2 linked regions of the Schizosaccharomyces pombe genome follow. Changing the gene in region 1 together with any one later gene gives a genetic interaction. Each region holds a gene or a part of one and is shown on either strand. Other genes may lie near its edges.

Region 1 (3,755 bases):
AAACATGTTCAAGAATTTTTCGCAGACCTGTGATTCCTATTAACCTGTCTTTGACATCTTTAGTGTTTGTCTCGTAAATAGAACCGATACCCACATAATCGGCCCCATCAGCAGCTGCTTTTTCAATTTCCTCGATATTATTAGTGGACACTCCAATAATAGCATCATCGCCAAGAATTTTTCTGGCTAATGCACAATCCATGTCGTCTTGACCAATATGAACACCGTCAGCGCCAACAGCTAATGCCACGTCAATCCTATCATTAATTAGAAAAGGCACGTCGTACTTTTTGCAAATTTCAGAAAGTCGTTTAGCACGTTCTACAAAGCATTTAGTAGAGATGTCTTTTTCTCTGTGCTGAACAAGCGTGACACCTCCCAAAATTCCCTCTTCCACCTGACGTTCTATAGTAGAACCTGGGGCAATTAAACTAGAGCTAGTTACAAGGTATAAAGAATAGTCAATTTGACGTTTCATGTTTGGTATAAAAGTTCTTATATAGAAGTCAAGTAAGTAAACAAAATCCTAGAAATGCCAGATTATGTTGCGGACACCAAAAATTTGACAGTTCAATCTTTCTATGCTAAGAAAAATGAAAATTGAATATTATCCTAATTTAATCAAGAATTTGGCGAAAGTGTTACAAACTATGTTTGCAAATTTTGCTCCATCTTTTATACTGTGTTAGTCATGGTTCGGATGCGTGCTACGACAAGTTAGTGATAACTGATTTTAATCACTCTATTAAAATGTAGTTTGTCAAATGGAACAAATACTGCATGCTTTTGAAGAAAATATATTCGCATTACTTTGAACAGGTTTTAATGAAATGAGTTTATAAAGGAACAGATATATCTTATTAAAAAGGTGCAGAATAACGTTATATTTAATTATTAAAAAGAAAAAAAAATTCATTCATTGTAATAAATACCCGTTAAAGCTATATTATTGAATAAATATGGAACAGCTTAACGTTTGAAGGTCCTAGTCTAATTCTTCTATTGCAGAAGGTGCTGCCTTTTCTAAACTTTCAATTAAAGATTCTACAAGATGAATTGACTCGTCAACGTTTGGCTCTTTTGACCATTGAAAATCGCTAAGGGATGCAATCTGACTAGAAAGAAATTATTAGCAAGCTAAATAAAGCTCAATTAAAACAACCCAAATTCCTAATCAACCTCATACCTATTCATTTTAAGAGTCAATTGTGTGCAGCGCTCTTTTTCCTCATTTAATTTTGTATAAGCAGATTGCACAGCTTCAGAAAGCCGCTCATTGATTTCACTTATGTCCAGCGGTTTTGCACTATGTGATGTGTAAAATTCTTCTACATCGTGCAATGTAGAGGCATGACTGACCGTTTGCAGTTTCTCAACATTTGTTGCCAACATCCTATCTATTCTGCTTTTGCCGATAACTTGACTCTCGAGATGGATGTTAGCTCTCAATTTTGCTAATCGCTTTTGTCTTTGTTGTGTACAGTATTCGTATAAACGCTCAATCAGTGGGTCTTCTCTGTATCTCTGAGGAAACAGTTGCCGCCATTGTTCTAAGCTTATAATAGACTGCAACCGCCCTTGAGAAAGAAGATAATCATTAAGTATTTGTTCCTCCATATTCATGAGCAACCTTTGAGATATTAGTAAATTGAATAAATGAAACGCAGCATTTGATGAAAACTCATGTAGAAAAGCTAATTTTTCCTAAAGTATCCTTTTGACTAAAGCATTTTTTATAATGCGTATTGGGACGTATTTGCTGAACATAATGAAAGTTTATTTTTAATTTATCATTAAAAATCCTAAAACAGTAACTTACTGATAGCACTTTCTCCAAGCATTTTGCAGATGAATGAATTTGTTGCTTAGATAGTATCCTGTTACACCCACCGTTTGTTAATGGGTCTAGATAATTTTTAAAACAAAATAGCTAACTCCTTCAAAGTAGGATAAATTTGCTAAGTGTACTGTTTTGGCACACGTCCTCTTACTTCTAACTCACCACCATACCTACAACGTTGTTGGAATGGCCGTGTCATATAAGGTGAATGAACGTGTACTATGCTTTCACGGCCCGTTACTCTATGAGGCTAAAATTGTTGATACTGAAATGAAAGGTGATGTTACCACGTACCTGATTCATTATAAAGGATGGAAAAACAGTTGGGATGAATGGGTTGAACAAGATAGGATACTACAATGGACAGAAGAAAATTTAAAGACTCAGAAAGAGTTAAAAAATGCCGCTATCTCTACGAGACAAAAACCGACTTCTAAAAAGTCCGCATCCAGCACTTCGAAACATGACTCAACTGGAGTTAAAACATCAGGAAAGAGGTCTCGAGAATCGAGCACCGTAACGGTTGATGGCGATTCACATGAATTGCCTTCACGTATAAAAACCCAAAAATCAGAGTCTCCAATTCCTCAACAAGTGAAACGCGATGGAACAACCGATGCTAAAAACGAGGAAACTACTAAGCCCGAGAATAACGAGAAAGACGATTTTGAGGAAGAGCCACCGCTTCCAAAACACAAGATTAGTGTCCCGGACGTTCTAAAGCTATGGCTTGTTGATGACTGGGAAAACATTACCAAAAATCAACAGTTAATAGCTATACCGCGGAATCCCACCGTCCGGGCTGCTATAGCGGCCTTCCGAGAATCCAAGATTTCTCATTTGAACAATGAAATAGACGTTGATGTTTTTGAACAAGCGATGGCTGGTTTGGTTATATACTTTAATAAGTGCTTGGGCAATATGCTGCTGTATCGGTTTGAACGGCAGCAATATTTAGAAATTCGGCAGCAATATCCTGATACTGAAATGTGTGATTTATATGGCGTCGAACATTTAATTCGCTTGTTTGTAAGCCTTCCTGAATTGATTGACCGGACTAATATGGATTCACAATCCATCGAGTGTTTGTTGAATTACATTGAAGAATTCTTGAAGTATGTTTACTGCTTTTAAACTCCCCTACTATACTAACCATTTATTTAGGTATCTCGTTCTACATAAAGATGAATATTTTATTAAAGAATATCAAAACGCCCCTCCAAACTATAGATCTTTGGTTGGTGTATAAAATTATGATCGTTTGCATCTATCCCAAAGATAACTAAAACGGTAATCTAAAATATATACGTTTTCTTTTTGAGATATAATACACTATTATCTATAGAATGCAGTAGGACCAACATAAGGCATTCAGAGAATTCATGCAATTATTATGTTGTTCCTTAATATTCAGATATTAATCATTTTGCTCTTCAAAGAGACAATTTGCTTCTGCAAATTGCCAATTGGAGTATCAAATTCTAAAGATCCAGAAATTTGACTTCCAAACTGATAAAGTTCTGCATTTACGACACCTTTCATTGCCTGGATGCTCAGGTCTAACGAACTTTCTGCCGGGATACACTGCTGCTCCTGTTCAGTTATATTGGCAACTCTTCTCAATTTTTCTTTAATACAACTCCATTTTTCTATTGTTTTTAAAATTTTTTTATCGTCAACCCGATGTTGTAATGTATCAGTCCGCTTATTGAATCCATCCATAAAATTGTAATAAAGCTTTATGAGTGCCCGTCTAAGGGCCAATGTGTATAACCATTGAGGACGTATGTAATACTAGAATTTGGTGAGTTGGACGTAAATAAGAACCAGTAAATATAAAAACTAACCACAACTTGCTAAGAATGTGTACTTACTTTTGTAATAACGAAAGTCGAGAGACCACTGATAGAAAAAG
Region 2 (3,755 bases), 560 kb from region 1:
TAACATTTACTCCTTCCCACTTTTTTGTATAATACTCTTCAAAAATGGCCCCTCAATTCAAACGCCCTGAGCTCTTTGGCTTTGATAAGTCTCATGCTCAATCTTTTGTTCAAGGAAAATGGATTTCTTCTCCTAACAACAAAACTTTTGAGGTTGATAACCCAGCTACTGGTGAAATAATCGGTAAAGTGGCCGATGTCTCAGTAGAGGAAACAAAAAAAGCCATCAGTGCCGCTAACGAGGCCTTCAAAACTTATAAAAATTTTACTCATGTCCAACGTAGTCAGTTATTGGAACGCTGGGCAGAGCTTATTATGGAGAACAAAGACGACTTGGTCAAGATGCTTACCTTAGAAAACGGCAAGCCTTTGAGCCAAGCTGAGATGGAGGTCACCACATGTAGCGGATATCTTAAATGGTATGCTGCTGAAGCCGTTCGTACCTTTGGCGATGTAGCTCCTTCCAGCTTACAAAGTCAAAACTTTCTCATCTCCATCAAACAGCCAGTTGGTGTCAGTGCCTTGATTACTCCTTGGAACTTCCCCGCCGCCATGATTGCTCGTAAAGGTGGTGCCGCTTTGGCTGCTGGTTGTACCGCTATTTTCTTGCCTGCTTTCCGCACTCCCTACGTTTGCTTAGGTTTAGTCAGGTTGGCGCAAGAGGCCGGTTTCCCTGACGGTGTCTTAAATGTGATCACTTCTTCTGATGCATCTGCTCATGGTAAAGAACTGACTACCAACCCTATCGTTCGTAAGGTTTCCTTCACTGGTAGTACTAATGTCGGTAAAATTCTTATGGGACAAAGTGCCAGCACAATCAAGAAGGTTTCAATGGAGTTAGGAGGTAATGCCCCTTTCATTGTATTCCCTGACTTCCCCATTGATCAGGCTGTCGAATCTTTCTGCACTATCAAGTTTAACTCTTGTGGTCAAGTTTGTGTCTGCCCTAACAGAGTTTACGTTCACAAGAATGTTTACGACGAATTCGTCAGCAAGCTTACCGAAAAAGTCAAGACCATTAAAGTAGGAGATGGATTTGACTCTTCTTCTGCTGTTGGCCCTTTGATTTCTCAAGATGGATGCAAAAAGGTCAGCAAGCACATTGAAGATGCTGTTTCAAAGGGTGCCAAAATCACTGTTGGTGGAAAGGAGATTTCCTCAAGCAAAGGTTATTTTTTTGAACCAACCGTGCTCTCCGGTGTAACTCAAGACATGTTGGTTGCTAGCGAGGAAACATTCGGCCCACTCGCCTCTGTCTTCAAGTTCGACGACACCGAAGAGGTGATCGAATGGGCTAACGACAGTGATGTTGGCTTGGCCGGTTACGTCTTTACCAATAACTTGTCCACAATGATCCACGTTGCCAAAGAACTAGAGGTGGGTCTTGTAGGTGCCAATATCGAAATGGTTGACGAACCATTTATTTCCTTTGGCGGCATCAAACAGAGCGGTTTTGGCAAGGAAGCCGGTCGTTTGGGCGTTCAAGAATTTATGGTGGTTAAGGAAATCAATCTCAAGACTCTTTAAGGATTTTCGCTTTAGAAAGCTGCATATTATTGAACAAGCAATGATGTCCTCTTTTGGTTAATGACTAAAAAATCCTGATGTTATGACTGTTTTACATGTTTGCGATACAAATCGTATTTTAGTTTAATGATATCAAAAAAATTTAATACCTGAACATCGTGGGTCATCGATGAAGAATGGATTGTTGTGTCAGAAAATCTATACTTGTAGTTATTGTTCTGAGCAATCTGAAAAGTTATAAAGAATTGTAGGTTCTAAAATTGGCAATACTGGAGCTAGAAATCTATATAATAGTAAATATTTTTTAATAATAACAGGTGTAGCACGTGAAATTTTGCGTCGCCTTGTAGTTTGTTACTTCCAACTAGACACATGTATTTTTTGTTGTTTGACTTGAAATAGGGTCAGGTATTCAATTTTCCGTATGCAGTGATGAGTGCTGTTGATGAATGGGTACATAATGCCAATGAATGCATAGAAATTGTACAAGGTATGCTATGTTAAATTATAATGTTTTTACCTTGTGTTAACACCTGTCAGTAAACGAAAAGCATGAAAAAGATTGTCAATACCATCCTAGCAATACATATGCAATATTTGGAGATGCTGAGGTTATTTATGGATATAAAGATCTAAATGTCACTGTAAGATTAAATCAGCAAGTTTTAGTCATGAAATTTGATTGCAAATAGTAACAGTTATTAGATAACCTATGAATGCCCATTGATGGTCCCAAAACTGGAAATCTCATATTCAGAGCGCCTAGCACCAGATTCAGGAGTGGAACCAACTGATATTGAAGGAACATTAAACACTTATCTAAAAGATCGTTCCATTAAGGTTGAAGGAAACTCATTTGACGTTCATTCGGCAAATAGTATTCATAACTATTCCTTTAATGGAAAAACATTCAAGATTTTACAAGTATGTTCGATTACCTTTCAATTGGAGAAGTATTCAATTATTGAATATCCCTATATGTTCTTTGGCTAATAATCGTAATGTATTAATAGGCAACGGTTCTTGAAGCTAGTGAGATTATGCAGCATTTGCAAATATTTTCCTTATTTTTTATTGAAGGGGGCTCTTTTATTGACCTTAATGATCCAAGATGGATGGTATATTTACTGTAAGTTTGTTATTTTCTACGCGTCTACTTTCCTTTTACCTTTTTATCGAGGTTTTATTAACAAAAATAAGTTACGAGACTACTGAAGATGATTATTGCTTACGTGGTTATTGTACTGTATACAAATATTATAAATGGGACAAATTAATTCACGATGGTATTCGAGCTCGTATCTCACAATTCGTGATTTTACCCCCTTTTCAACATCAAGGACACGGTTCGCAATTGTACAATGCTATTGTTAGTACCTTTTTGAAAAATCCTAAAATTTTAGACTTCACAGTTGAGGATGCATCGGAAGCGTTTGATAGCCTTAGAGACCATTGCGACTATAAAAGATTATTATCAATGGGAATATTTTCAGAACCTGACTTTCATCCCTCTCTTTCTAGGCAGTGGATAAACTCGAAAATAGCTGAAACAAAGTTAACCCAGGTTCGTAATTTGCTAAATTTACCATGCAATGCAACTTACTAATTGTCTTTTTTTAGCGTCAATTCTCACGCTGTTGTGAATTAGCATTTACAACGAAACTAAAAAAGCTTTCATTATTGGAGCGGAAATCTGTTAGACTAGGAATAAAGGAAAGGATTTTTCGTCAAAATCTTGATGTGTTGCTACAGTTGGATAAGTCCGAACGTATTGAAAAAATTCATAACGCCTATGAAAATCAGTTTGATGAGTATAAACAGATTGTCAAAAAGCTACCCAAGCTTAAGGAAGATTCGCCTCGAAAACGCCAAAAACTTGCTCAATCTTCTTCCTAAATGAAAACACTTTTAGAGATCTGAAATACTTTGAGAATATTGAAGGCATATTAGCATAAAAAGTTATGAGAATCGACTAAATTACACTATTGGACGCAATTACTTTTTATATAATTTGCTTTTGAAAGCTTTCGCTTGAAATGATTAAAGACATTTGAAACAGTGATCATTTTAATAATATAAATTTTGTATATATTTTGCAAATTTAGTGTGATATCTAGTTTAATAAAATCTATAAAGGCACCTTATAAAAATTCAAACAATTCCTCATAATGAACTGCTTTTTCCAAAATTTAAATATTTTAATATCTACTATCAATAATATTGGTTATT

Evidence for each region. A genetic interaction does not mean that the proteins touch.
Region 2: of alp13 (region 1) and hat1, changing one enhances a phenotype caused by changing the other (phenotypic enhancement), as found in Schizosaccharomyces pombe (2 studies listed by BioGRID, with this or other methods).

The regions. Positions count from the first base shown.
Region 1 is NC_003424.3:1,586,823-1,590,577, reverse strand, and holds alp13 (Clr6 histone deacetylase complex, chromodomain subunit Alp13/Eaf3), read left to right. Parts: upstream 1-2,000; 5' UTR 2,001-2,026; coding exon 2,027-2,955; intron 2,956-3,004; coding exon 3,005-3,089; 3' UTR 3,090-3,250; downstream 3,251-3,755. Other genes in the region: thi4 (bifunctional thiamine-phosphate dipyrophosphorylase/hydroxyethylthiazole kinase), read right to left, coding at 1-478; centromere localized protein Cnl2, read right to left, coding at 986-1,115, 1,187-1,623; SPOM_SPAC23H4.13C (uncharacterized protein), read right to left, coding at 3,251-3,634, 3,715-3,755.
Region 2 is NC_003424.3:1,028,272-1,032,026, forward strand, and holds hat1 (histone acetyltransferase Hat1), read left to right. Parts: upstream 1-1,948; 5' UTR 1,949-1,958; coding exon 1,959-2,016; exon of another isoform or gene 2,017-2,066; coding exon 2,067-2,170; exon of another isoform or gene 2,171-2,231; coding exon 2,232-2,450; intron 2,451-2,539; coding exon 2,540-2,655; intron 2,656-2,726; coding exon 2,727-3,090; intron 3,091-3,146; coding exon 3,147-3,422; 3' UTR 3,423-3,670; downstream 3,671-3,755. Other genes in the region: ssd2 (succinate-semialdehyde dehydrogenase), read left to right, coding at 45-1,526. UniProt on the Schizosaccharomyces pombe protein: Catalytic component of the histone acetylase B (HAT-B) complex. Acetylates 'Lys-12' of histone H4 which is required for telomeric silencing. Has intrinsic substrate specificity that modifies lysine in recognition sequence GXGKXG.